Schizosaccharomyces pombe: one gene and its partner. The gene in region 1 interacts genetically with each later gene. Each region holds a gene or a part of one and is shown on either strand. Other genes may lie near its edges.

What was found.
Region 2: mutations in cch1 (region 1) and sqs1 together harm fitness more than expected from each alone (negative genetic interaction), as found in Schizosaccharomyces pombe (one large-scale study listed by BioGRID).

What each region holds. Positions count from the first base shown.
Region 1 is NC_003424.3:2,724,418-2,732,404, forward strand, and holds the start of cch1 (plasma membrane calcium ion import channel Cch1), read left to right. Parts: upstream 1-1,741; 5' UTR 1,742-2,301; coding exon 2,302-7,866; 3' UTR 7,867-7,987. Other genes in the region: SPOM_SPAPB2B4.07 (ubiquitin UBTD1 family protein), read left to right, coding at 1-678. UniProt on the Schizosaccharomyces pombe protein: Voltage-gated, high-affinity calcium channel that functions together with yam8 to mediate calcium entry into cells. Required during conditions of environmental stress.
Region 2 is NC_003423.3:1,300,957-1,306,242, reverse strand, and holds sqs1 (G-patch and R3H domain-containing protein), read left to right. Parts: upstream 1-2,107; 5' UTR 2,108-2,214; coding exon 2,215-4,302; 3' UTR 4,303-4,646; downstream 4,647-5,286. Other genes in the region: ldb1 (LIM domain binding protein), read left to right, coding at 247-1,422.

The DNA of each region.
Region 1 (7,987 bases):
AATAATGGCGGTGAGCAGCCATCTGGTAGCAATATTTTGCGATTGCCCAAACTGTACACACCCAATCCTCTGCTGACAAAAGAAGAAGTCGAGGTACGTCGAAATGAGTTTTGGGAAACCTGCTGGGCTTATGGTGGCTCAAAAGAAATATGGGATGTTTTGCACAAAGTAGTGACTTTATTGTACGAAGGAAATGCTGAAGCGGCTACCGAAATGGCATTGGCGGCGGATTTGACGATTCCAGAAAACGATATTAGTAAGGGTGTATACGATTCAAAAGGCACTTTTTATGAAATTCCTAAAATTGTGGCTCGTATCCCTCGTGCTTTTGCAGAACGAAAAGATTCACTCGACGATGAGGATGATAACATGATAAGTAGCAACGACCCTACAAAATCCCCAGAGGAGCATGATACCACCACAAAATCCATAGCATCGCTAAAGGATGCGGAATTGGATTCGTCTTTGGAAACCGTCTTAATCCGTTACAGTAAGGATGACAAAGATTACTCGATTCAGATTAATCCCAATCTTCCTTTTTCTCATGCCAAGTCCCAATTAGAAGAAGTAGGACTTGAAAATGTCCAAAGATTTTTTTTCCTTGGACGCGTCCTTCAATTTAAAAAAAGTTTATCCCAACAGGGTTGGACTTCTGGTATGATCATTCAAGCTATGTAAGCTTTTATTTCTCTTCCTTTGAAAACCGATCCTTCCTTTTATTTCTAGCGATGTTTTAGAGCTAACTGTACAATTTATGAAAACTTTTTTTTTTCTAAAAAGAAAAGTAGTTTTTGGTCTGATGGTTGTATCGTGAATGTGATTTTCGCGTTGTTGCTTCTTTGTGTTCAGCCAAAGGCTTTTTCTTTGAACTCTTTGTTTGTTTTAATTATCATTTTTCATTTTCTTTTCTATTTTTTGAGACATACGATTCTCCTCGGTATTTTCTTTTAATCCTGCTTATTTGACCCTTAGTTTGCTGTACAAATTCAGCTGTTTAATTTGATTTTTTCACCCTTCTTATCAGCACTGTCTCATTCCTTTTTATGTCCGTTATGGATATTGAAGACTTGTTGAGGTTTCAATTTGATGCTTTACGATTAGTCTTTTACATATGTTTCTTTCATTCTTGAATTTTTTTCATGATGAAGCATATCTTTTCGCTATTTTTCATAATTTTTCTATACAAATTTGGTATAAGTTATAATAGTTGGTATTTTTTCTTCTACCCTTCATTGATGTCGATTTCGAGATTATTCAATTAGAGTACATCTTATTTGTTATCCGCTTCAATTATTTCATCTTGTTGGACATACCATAATTCTATTACCATTGAATTAATTTATTTGCTAGACGTTTATATCGTTTGCGAAAATTTGTTACTATCGTAATTTCTTGCTTTCGTTACAAAACCTATCGAAAATAAAGCATTTCATTAAGTAATAGATGTGAGATAAAGAAGTTTGGAAGGAAGAAATAAATTTTGTATTCAATAGGAAGAAAAAATATCTGTTTATTAAAAAAACTATCTATATATTGCTTAAACTAATAGTTTATTTAAGTATTGAATGTGTTTATCAATTATCCTATACATACTTGCAAACTAAAATCACATTTAAAATTAACCCAGAGTTTTAATTTTTCATCTTCCCTGTCTTCGCGGTTCCGTACCAACCATACGGGTCGACCATTCCTACTATTCCCAGTGCTGTCCATATTGCCAGGTTTGGGAACAATCCTCTCCAGCGGACTACCAACATTGGGTTAAGCAAGCACCTTGAGAAAACGTAGATTTGAAAGTTTTATTTATTCCTTTTGTCTATTTTTTTGAATATAAAAAGTGTGAAACTAAAACTATTGAAGCATTCGTACAATTTGAGTTCCGGGCAACAACTCGAAAATTTGTGTCGGCGGCATTTTTACACCTCACTGTTTCTTTACAATTTAAACTTGCATTCATTTTCGTCATTTATTAATATACTTTACTTTAGCATACATTGTCGTTTTCCATATCTCATGAACGCTGGCAATTGGACTCTTTTCTTTACATTTGTCTCTCTTTGAACGGTTTATGAACTACATCCTCCTGTTAGTCCTTTTTCCTTATTTCAATCGTTATTTTGACTTTAAATATTTATTCTATTCGTTACGTTTTATAATTAAATCTTGTTGCACTATATCTATTCCTTTTTTTTGCATTTCCCGTGTTAGAGAAGCTCCTTGACTCTTAAGAGGTTCTGGTTTTCGACGTTTTCTACATTCCTTCAGTCTTTTTTCATCATTTAAAAAAAATTAAGAAGTGTAATGTCATCAAGCTCAAACTCAGATCCAAGCTCTAGCCCTGATAATACCGATTTCATTCCCCTTAAAGATAATCCTAAAGATACCTCTTCCTACATAAATAAAAAAAATCCATTCGTAAACGATTCTTTTGATTCCCATGATGATTCCTATTTGGATAATGTTAACCCATTTGAGTATAATGTTGCAGATGATGAAGATACGATTTCCATGACCAGCGACGGTGTCGAATTTCATAACCTTGGCATAACCGAAACTGTTGATGAGCAGGACAAAATCTTGTCTGAACTTCAATTGGCCTATCCTACTGTTTCTAGGTACTCAGAAACACTAGATAAAGGTCTTCTGAATGGAGATAAAACTACCAAGGGAGATTACACCAGTCTAAGGAGATTTAGAAAACCTTTCTTGTTTGATAAACTATCTCCTTATTTTACTCATTTTTTTTCCGAAATTTACGCTGCGGTTTTGAGAGTTGTTGGCCCTCCAAGAGCTAATGAAACACCCGGAAGAAACTTGCCATTTTCCCCAATTCTCCGCCAAATTTATAATCACCCTTTATACAATATCTTTATTTTTGTTGTAATTGTGCTACATGCGGTTTTACTAATGATTCGTTCTGATGACCCTCATGATAAGTCTCAAACTATCGATTATTTAATTATTGTAATCGGTATCTTATATACGTTAGAGATGTTGCTCAAAATCTATTTATTTGGTTTTTTATATGATGGTTCCTCTTCATTTTATGATTTCATAAACTCGTATACCAAGAAAACTCCCAGAACAATGTCTTATTTGCGACATTCATGGAATCGTGTCGATTTTGTGGCTATTGTTGCTTTATGGATCTCTGTAATTGGTAAAAAACAGCAAGGTATTTTTCGGCTTTTTAGTATGATTGCTTGTTTGCGCCTAACTCGGCTGTTGAATATAACTCGAAAAACTGAAACCATCCTAAAAAGTTTAAAAGAGTCGTCTACACCTTTAGTACAAGTCGTCTCGTTTAATGCTTTCTTTGGGGTAATGATAGCTATATTGGGTGTTCAATTTTTTAAGGCATCACTGAATCGTCAATGCGTATGGCTTGGTGATTACGGGGACCAGTATTTACCTACTGGTCAATTTTGTGGTGGTCATTGGGAGAATGGTATAAAAAGGGCTTACTTAGATAAAAATGGATTTCCATCCAACGTGAACCCCAGAGGTTTTATCTGTGCTGAAAAAAGTGTTTGTCGCGTGGTGGAAAACCCCTACAGTAACACTGTTAGCTTTGACAATTTTTTCAATTCTTTGGAATTGATATTTGTTATAATGAGTTCCAATGGGTTCACGGATATTATGTACGATATCATGGATGCAGAATATTTTGTTTCTTGTCTCCTTTTCATAATATCTGCATATTTTCTTACACTCTGGCTCATGTCCCTTGTGATTGCAGTGGTAACGAGTTCTTTTATTGACTTGCAGCATTCCGGAAAGAATCAAAAAGAACAAAAATCTGTTGATAAACATCTCATTCGAAATAAGTTATGTGAGAAGTACCTATTTTACTCGAACTTTATTTGGATAAGTTTTATAGTAGCCCAGTTTGTAACTCTTTGTACTCAAACATATGATCAAACTTCTAGCACTGCAAATAGGTACCTAATCTTTTACGCTTGTGTGGACTTTCTACTGGCTGCAGAAGTGATTCTTAGATTTTTTGCATACTTGCCAGATTATAGGCTTTTTTTTCGACGGTATACAAATTTGGTTGATATTGTCTTGGCCGTTTTGAATTTGGTTACTTTATTACCGAGTATTAGAAAAAATCCTGTAGCTTTTGGTTGGTTGTCAATATTTGCTATTGCTAGGATATACCGATGCATTCTTTTGATTCCCTATACACGGAAAATTGCTAAACTCTTGTTCTCAAATTTTAAACAACTGCTAAATTTGATGCTATTTTTGGTAATCGTCTTATTCATTGCATCTTTGTGCGCTGTCAGGTTGTTTCAAGATTTGCCCAATGACGGAGATTCAGACGATGATGCGATTAGCTTCGCTACTACTTACGAATCGTTTTTATACATGTACCAGATTTTGACAAGTGAGAATTGGACGGATGTGATGTTTGCAATCCAAGCTCGATTAGCACATCTTCACTTATCGTGGATTCCTGGAGCTTTTTTTACTCTTTGGTTTCTCTTTTCAAACAACGTGGTTTTAAGTATGTTTATTGCTGTCATTCAGGTAAACTTTGCACCTTCAGAATCTGATCTAAAAATGGAACAATTGAAAATGTACTTAGCTAGGTTATTAAGGAACTATAATCCTTTTCAAGCTTCCCTTACTTTGAATGCCTTAATTAAAAGGAATGGATCTCGAAAAGGGAAGACAGTGGATGAATCTCATTATGAGTGGTTATATGAAGACAATATTATTAAAGGCTTTTTGCGTGTTACTAATATTCCTCCTAAAGAGCCACTTAAACCGAGTTTGGATACCTCACCCGAGTTATCTAAATATTCACTGGCAAAGCTGTCAAATAACTTTAAGAGATTTGTTATGCGTGATGACCCTTTTTCTCAAGCATACTTCAAACGTGTTATCGGTATACGCTGGGAAAAGGATATGAATCTCAAGACTGCAGCGAAAGATATGCAAGCTGCTAAAGCATTTGTCCGAATTAAGCAGACCGAATTTTTAAAGAATCACCCAAAGTATAATGATGTGTTTTGGGTCATTAAACCGTCGAATAGAATTAGGAGGTTTTGTCAACGACTGGTAATGCCCGGTGTGAATGAACGATATGGCGGTGTTGAGCCATATCAATGGGTTTACCGTGTAATACAAGTTTTTATTTATGCTTGTATTCTAACTGCAGTGATTATTGAATGCATTGCTACACCTATTTATGAGCGAGACCATTTATTGAATGATAAACAACATGCATGGTTTGTATGGACAGAGGTAGCTTTTGCAACTATTTTTACAATTGAAGCCGCTATAAAAATAATAGCTGATGGATTTTGTATTACACCAAATGCATACCTTCGAAGTACTTGGAATTGCATCGACTTTTTCGTTTTGGTTACCTTATGGATCAATCTTTATGCAGTATTAACAAGCCATGCCTTGCTTTCCCGAGCCTTTCGAGCATTCAAAGCGCTTCGTGTGCTTCGATTAATCAATCTTACACAAACTTCACAGCGGATGTTTCATGACGCCCTAATTAGTGGTTTTTTTAAAATATTTTCTGCCGCCGTTGTGTCGGCAACGTTGCTAATTCCTTTTGCTCTGTGGGCTAAAAACGTTTTTGGTGGATTATTATACAGTTGTAATGATGACAACGTTTTATCAGCTTCTCAGTGTGTTTTAGAATACGCATCCACTCCTAATAATTGGGAGGTTTGGGCACCAAGAGTCTGGTCCAATCCCCCTGATTACGATTTTGATAGATTTCCTCATGCTCTACTCGCTTTGTTCGAAATCGCCTCAATTGAAGGATGGGTAGACATTATGCGTTCGGTAATGGACATTACTGGATTCAATAATCAACCCCAGACCAATGCCTCTTCTGGTAATGCTATGTTCTTTGTGTTGTTCAACCTTGTTTCAATGATTTATATATTGACTCTTTTTATTGCCATCATCATCAGCAATTATGCTGAACGTACAGGGTCGGCTTTCTTTACTGCGGAACAGCGCGCGTGGTTGGAACTGCGCAGGAAGATAAAATCAATGCGTCCGTCGAAAAGGCCGGCCATTAGACCTCTGGGTTTAAGAGGACTTTGTTACGACTTTGCAGTGCAAAAACATGGCATATGGAGAAGGACATTTACTGGGTTGTATATTGTGCATCTCTTGTTCCTTCTAACCATTTTTTATCCTTGTCCTATAGCGTACACTTATGTTCGAAACTCTATATTTCTAATACTGTCAATATGTTATACGATAAACATATGTGTCAAAGTTTACGGTCTTTCATTCTACTATTTTTTTCACAGTTTTTGGAATATGTTTGATGTCGTTGTAACATTAGGAAGTCTCACTTGCAATATTGCTATCCTTGCAAAGTTTGAAAATAGGTCGTTAACACTCCTGCAAACTACTTTATTGGTGTTAGTTACTGTGCATCTAATTCCGAAGTTTGACAATTTTGATCAGCTTTCTAAAACTGTGGTTGCAAGCTTACCTTCTATTTTTTCATTGATTGCGACATGGATTGTTTTATACATTACCTTTGCTATAGCGTTTAATCAGATTTTCGGGTTGACCAAGCTTGGGTTGAATGGAGGGCCTAACAAAAACTTTAGGTCAATACGCAATGCTCTTGTTTTGCTTTTTACGATGACCTTTGGAGAAGGCTGGAACGATGTAATGCATGATTATACTATATCATATCCTAATTGTGTGAATGGTGACGATTTCTACAATTCAGACTGCGGTAACAAACCGTGGGCTTATGGATTGTTTATTGCTTGGAATATTATCTCAATGTACATTTTTGTTAATATGTTTATTACTGTTGTTTTCGACAACTTTTCCTACATCCATACTAAATCTTCCTCGTTTACAAATTTGCAGCGTAACGATTTCCGACAATTTAAGGATTCATGGGCACCTTTTGACCCCATGGTCACCGGTTATATTCCCAAACGCAATGCTGTAAAATTTGTTCTTTCGCTAAGGGGTGTCTATGATTTCAGAATATATCGAGATGAACATACATTGAGAAGCATTATCTCCAAAGTTCAGAGTAAAACTGGGCAGCAATCTGTCCCAATGCTCGAAAATCCCTTGATGGGTTCTGAAATAAACTTAGAGGCGCTAGACCAAATTATTGATACTATTGATGTAAACGTAGTGAAAGAGCGAAGAAACGTACTGAATTCTCTCTGTACAGAGATTATGACACTACCGGGCAACGTCATTTCTTTTTCGAATATATTGATGTTAGTTGTACTTCATAAAATTGTTGATCATCGTGAAGCATTTCCTATTTCTGACTACATTCGCCGAGCGTACGTACTTTCGGAATTGGAAAAATCTATTAGAATGGAAAAGTTGTTGGGTTTGGTTGAAACTTCAATCATCAGAAAAACATTCCTTCAACATATGGAAGAAAAGAAGAAAGCTTTAGAAAATCCTTTCATACTTTTGAGTGAAGTTTCTGAGATTTTACCCGAAACACCCATTCAAGAAGTCCTTCGCCAACATAATGCTGATCCAGAGCAACTTTTAATGTCAACTAGAACACCTTCAGTTAGTGATCGCAGTTTCTCCATCGTTGAATCGACTGTACCGACAATCGCTTCGGGTGAAGGTGATGATAACCATAGCGTGGAAGATCATTTGAAGGTACCAACTGATAATGAACCTCGAAGATCACCTTCTCTCAAAGAAGTCCTTCTTCGTGGATCTCATTCTTTACATTCAAATAACGACCGAACTTCATTTGACATCGAAGCAGGATTTGGAACTGCTGAAAGCGATTTCCAATTTGGCGGAGCGACAGAAGATATCAATCGCATAGCTGACCGTATAGATGATTATTTAGATCGGGATTCATTTAAAGGATAAATGGGCTGTATGGCTTTTATAATCAAACCCAAACAACATAGAAAGTTTACCAAAAAATATCATAAAATGAATACTAGTAGTTTTAAGATGAAAAAATTATATAAATATAAAAAGCAAAAAT
Region 2 (5,286 bases), on another chromosome or scaffold:
AAATGTTAATTTATATCACAAATTCAGGCGTTTGAAAGATGCTATCTTCACCCAAATACAAGCCGTTTGTAATAACACAGCGCATCACATTTTCTAAATGTCTTTAACGTAGCGTGCCAATCTCTAATTCACTTAAAGGGTTAACCATGCATGGCGGGCTCCGGCCGTTAATGTTTCACAAGCGCTTTGCACTTTGAACAAATCCAATTCTGCAGCGCTGGTGGCTTTCTTGTAAATTTCGCAGCTATGGTTGCAAACTATGCGTCCATGATGTATCATAATGGCTCGAATATACTAGGATACGGTGTTTTGCGATTATTACAATATAATGAACAGTTAATGTCAGGATGGGAAAGTACCATGAAAGATGATATTGGGTATTGGAGACGATTTGTGCATGATTTTTATACTGAAAAGGGAACATTTCGCTATAACATCGACTACAAAGATTCGCCAAACCAGGAGCCGAAATTGTTTGAATTATCGTATGCAGCACTTCCGCGCTTCTTATATCTGAGTTATTGCGGCAAACTTAAAAAGATGTCGTTCCTTTTGGGAAATACAAAGGAATTTGCCATTCCAAACAATGGGTATTTTGTGGAATCGTCAAGGGCAAGCATTTTATATCAGTATCAAGGCGGTGTACAGGTAATTGTATCGGGGCACTTGCGGGCTCATTTCTTTCGTGCTCCTTTGTTAAAATTAGACTCTTTAGAGTTTTCAGCTGTCGGACATTCCGAGTATCTTTTGCGCGAGTTAATGACAAACGCTTCCCTAGCCCTTTCGCAGTCGCGGCCTCCTCAAAATCAAATACAACACGATGGGGTAAAAAGTGAGGATCCGTCATCCGAAAGTGTAAATATTAACTCATCTTCTTCTCTTTTGCCGGATTCACCCGTCAACGAATATGGATTGGAACCGCACATCATGCGGTTCATGGAAATTACTGAAACAATTTCGGGAATGCGCGATCTCATAGCCTTCACTCTTGCTCAGCGATCGGGTCCGACTAGCGCTTTACATAAATTTGCTACAGCTTTACAACAACAGCATCAAATGCAAAAGTCTACTTCCTCTAATATTCCATATGCAAATCCAGCCCCCTCGGGGTTTAATGGCTCGCCTAGGAATGGTGATGTTGCTAGTCTTGCCTCTAATTATCGTTATGCCAAGCAACCTCCCACTATGCCTGCTAATGCAATTAGTCAAGCTAATCGTCTTTTGGACCAAAATAATATCCCCAATATGGATCCATCAATTCTTCCTCAATCCATGCCGATTGCCTCTGTTCCGCCCTATAGTCTTCAGGGGATTAAACGCCAAGGTACCCATTCCCCAATGGTTGAAGGTGAAAATCCCAACAATAATCCTAACTTCTATTCTTCTGATATGCTGAACGCTCAAAAACGTACCAAGGTATAGCTGTTTTTTTGTATTTAATATTCGGTTCGCTCGCTACTTATACATATATCTGCACTCACTGTTATTTTTCGTTGTCTAAGTTTGAAATTCTTAAGAAAAATTTCTATTACTTTCTTTTTTTTGAGCGTATTACATTATTTATTCCTTTTTCTGAATACACTTTTGTGTATGTGTTCAACTTCAAATTCCTTACCGTTCTCATCATATGCAGAATTTGTCATCTCGTTCCCTATTCGACGCTTCTCTTTTATACTTTTAAAATAAAAAGGAATTTTTTTCATTATAAAGTAATTCTATGTATTTTTACATTGCTCCCTGTTTCAAGAACAAATCGTTTCCCCTGTCGTTGCTCTCGAGGGACGTAAAAGAAACTGCATTAGTATAGCGTTCTATATTCTAACATTCTATTTCTTGCACTATTTACATTATAGTTATTTGGCTGTTTTATATGTTTTATACAAAAATTTATAACTTATAATTACATGATGAGCTACTGTCGGTTAATTCATATTCAACTTTGAGTCGGTCAATGTATGAATCTCCTCAACTTCAGTTTAAATAGACGTGTATACTTGAAATTAATAGTTAAATTGTAAATTGAATATTTAGAAATTTGTATTTAATACCGTGGCAAAATCGTTTAGTGTACTATATGAAGCACTTTCCCCCAAGACTCCATCCTACTACCACCATTTGGTTTACGCACCTCACAATTTAGGATTTCACCATCATTATTTATTAAAACAATTATATATTATTTTTTTTATCATATTTTTTGACTTGTATCCCTCAATGTCAAATTTTGATGATCTACAGATTTTAGATCAGTTACAAACTTCTGCCAGGTTTCGTGGTGATACACGAATCCGAAGATTTAAGGGATCCAATAATTCTAAAAGCCCTTTTGGTTTAAACCCTAGTAGTCGAATTTCACAATGGCCCCGAATTACCTTTATACGTGCTAAGGACAATTACAACCCGGCGGAAGAATTGTGTCAATTAATCGATGAACAAAATGCCCACAATGAAGCTAAGCACCAAAGCAAAGAGATTATGCTTCCCAAGGAAACCAACGTTAAGTCCTGCGAAGATTTATCAAAAACCGGTGAAATAAAGGCGTTGGACATTGTGTTATTTAAAGCAATTACTTCGAAAGGTGATACATTGAAAGTAAAGAAAATTCCGGAATATGCGGAAGCGTTTGATACCACCAAGAATGTAGAAGTTTCAAGTTTTCCTGAGAAAAGCATGAACGAAAATGTTTTGATTCAGCATTCTTTAAATCTTGCACCAAGTGATAAGGAAATTTCATCTACAGAAGAAAGTGAGCAGTTGTGTTACAAAGAACAAGAATCTGAGAAGGAGTTATATTCTAAAGATAATGATGACTCTTTAGACATACTAAATGTTCCAAACTTGGTCAATGATGATATTGCTAACAATAACGCTGCACCTCCACCGCCTTTGGCTCAGGCACAGGAGCAGTTGAGTACCGAAAATGAAGACGAGTTTGATATTGATGACACCACCGATAAAATGACTACGTTTACTATGAACAAGTTTGCCGACCTCTCCGTTTTAGAAGAAGATGATGATGATGAGGACGAAGATGAAGAGCTAGAAGGAGAGAAAGAAGAGGAGGAAGAGGAGAAAGAAAAACCTGAAATATCAAATTACGATGAGACAGAGGGTAAAGTAAATTTTTCACTTGAAGATTCGGAATCTTTAGAATTTGATGAGGGATCAGATGACTATGATTATGCTAAGTTAACGACGGAACTTGTGGGAAATACAGATTCATTAGCCGAAGATGAAGATGATATTTTGGAAGAAGATGAAGATGAAGATGAAGAAGAGCTTTTGGCAATTTTTGATGCTAGTGATGATTCCGAGATTGAGGCATACCTTAGTATTGGAGATACTTTGCAAAATGATTTTACTATTTATGATTATGACAGTGAGGATGAAGAGTACAATAACCCCTCAACTCAAAAAACGGAAAAAGTTTCTCAAAGCAAAAAAGGGGCGAAGGTAAAAGAAGAAAAAGGTTTGAAAAAAGATCGCAAACTTCCTAAAAAAATGCGTAAAGCTCAAAAGAAATTAGAGAGAAAGGCAGGAAAGGCTGTGGCCGCTAGAATGGGAGATGCCTTTTCCAATTCTTTGGACGATGAGAGCATGAACTTGTACGCTGAATTGCAAGAACAATGGCTTAAAGATAAAAGCAAAAAGGCAAGAAGACGAGCGGAAAGGGAGAAACTCCGCTCTGAGGGGCTACTTGGAAAGAAAAGCAAAAAGAAACTTTTGCGCGAAAGCCAGAAGCCGTCTTCTTCCGATTCTGACAATGCTAGTCTTACACGAATTGATAAGATATTTATAAATGATGTTTATCAACGGATGCAACAGTTTAAGCACTCGGCCATTGAAGAAATTTCCCTTCCTCCATGCAGAAAATATGTTCGTCGATTGGTTCATGCGCTTGCCAACGATTTGAACTTGAAGTCGAGAAGTTATGGATCTGGAAACAAGCGGTATACTATGCTTTCCAAAACTCATAAATTTGATGCATCTAGTGTGGATTTGGTTTCACTTACCAGGATTATGGAGCGTTTACAGACCAGGGTTGAGTATCAGTCATTTTCCAAATCTGGTAGGAAATCTCGAATGACTGTTTCCTCTGTGAGGTCGAGTAAAGCCACACGTGTATATGATGGCCAAATTGTTGGAGAAGATGCCCCTGAAATTAGCAAAGAAAATCCAGGTCGTCGGTTGCTCGAAAAGTTAGGATGGTATGCAGGTAAAGGACTTGGTCATCCCGAAAATGAAGGTTCCAAAGATAGTTTACGTGCTATTGTTAAAGTTAGCAGAAGTGGTTTAGGTTAGAAAACCAGGGTGACTGGTCAAACCGAGAAACTAATCAGCTGTGTCTTATTTACTTGAGATAATACTCCAATTTATATATATATATATATAAATATATACTATTCTAGGTTAAGCATCATATTCAAATTAGCGATTTGTACATATTGATGTGAAGTAAAAAATTAACCGTGGGTACTTCGACATGGTGTCTTTCCATTCAAGAGATAAACCGGAAATCCAGAAAGATAACTATCTTTTATTTTAAGATATAAACTTCATTTAAATAGACAGAATAATTATTCTCACTACAGGAGCAATTGAATATGTAAGTTGCTGCTATGGGCATACTGCAGCTAAAGAAGTTCTACAAAACGGTGATATCGCAGTGTACAGAGTTATTATTGCTATTTAAAGAAGATAATCGTAAAATCAGTTAGCGTTTAATATATAACACGTGTAATACAGTATAAGGAGTTATGTAAAGTAACGTTTAGGTCATTTTAACAGGCAATATCGGTCAATAGTGATACCCAACATCGCACTATTCGCAGTTTCAACCAAGTATCAATCGGAGCCTTTTTCATTCGTTAAATAGTATAAGGCAAAAATACCGTTTCGGTAAGGGTCAATAGTGTTCGCCTAGGTTCGACTGACTTCAGCCTTTATGGGGCCCGTCGGAGCTAACTTTTCCACTTAACAACTAATCGAATTCTTAAGTGTTTTTTGACGACAATCTGTCAAACACTGTATCCTTATTAAGGAACTAGTGTATTGTTTAAAGTAAAGGAGTTTTCAAGCCTGGGAAGCTCGAAGAAACGATTCAAACGGAAGCTCTGTGGATAGCCAAGTTCGGTACGGGTTTGTACTTTCGTCCCCGAGTATTTTGTTGAACTTCAGGAATTCGCGTTCTTTTTTAATTCTGAATTAATCTTTACTCTTTACTTTTTATTCGTTCTTTTTTTAAATTCTGTTTTTAATTTCGGAACAAACGAAGTTGGATATTGA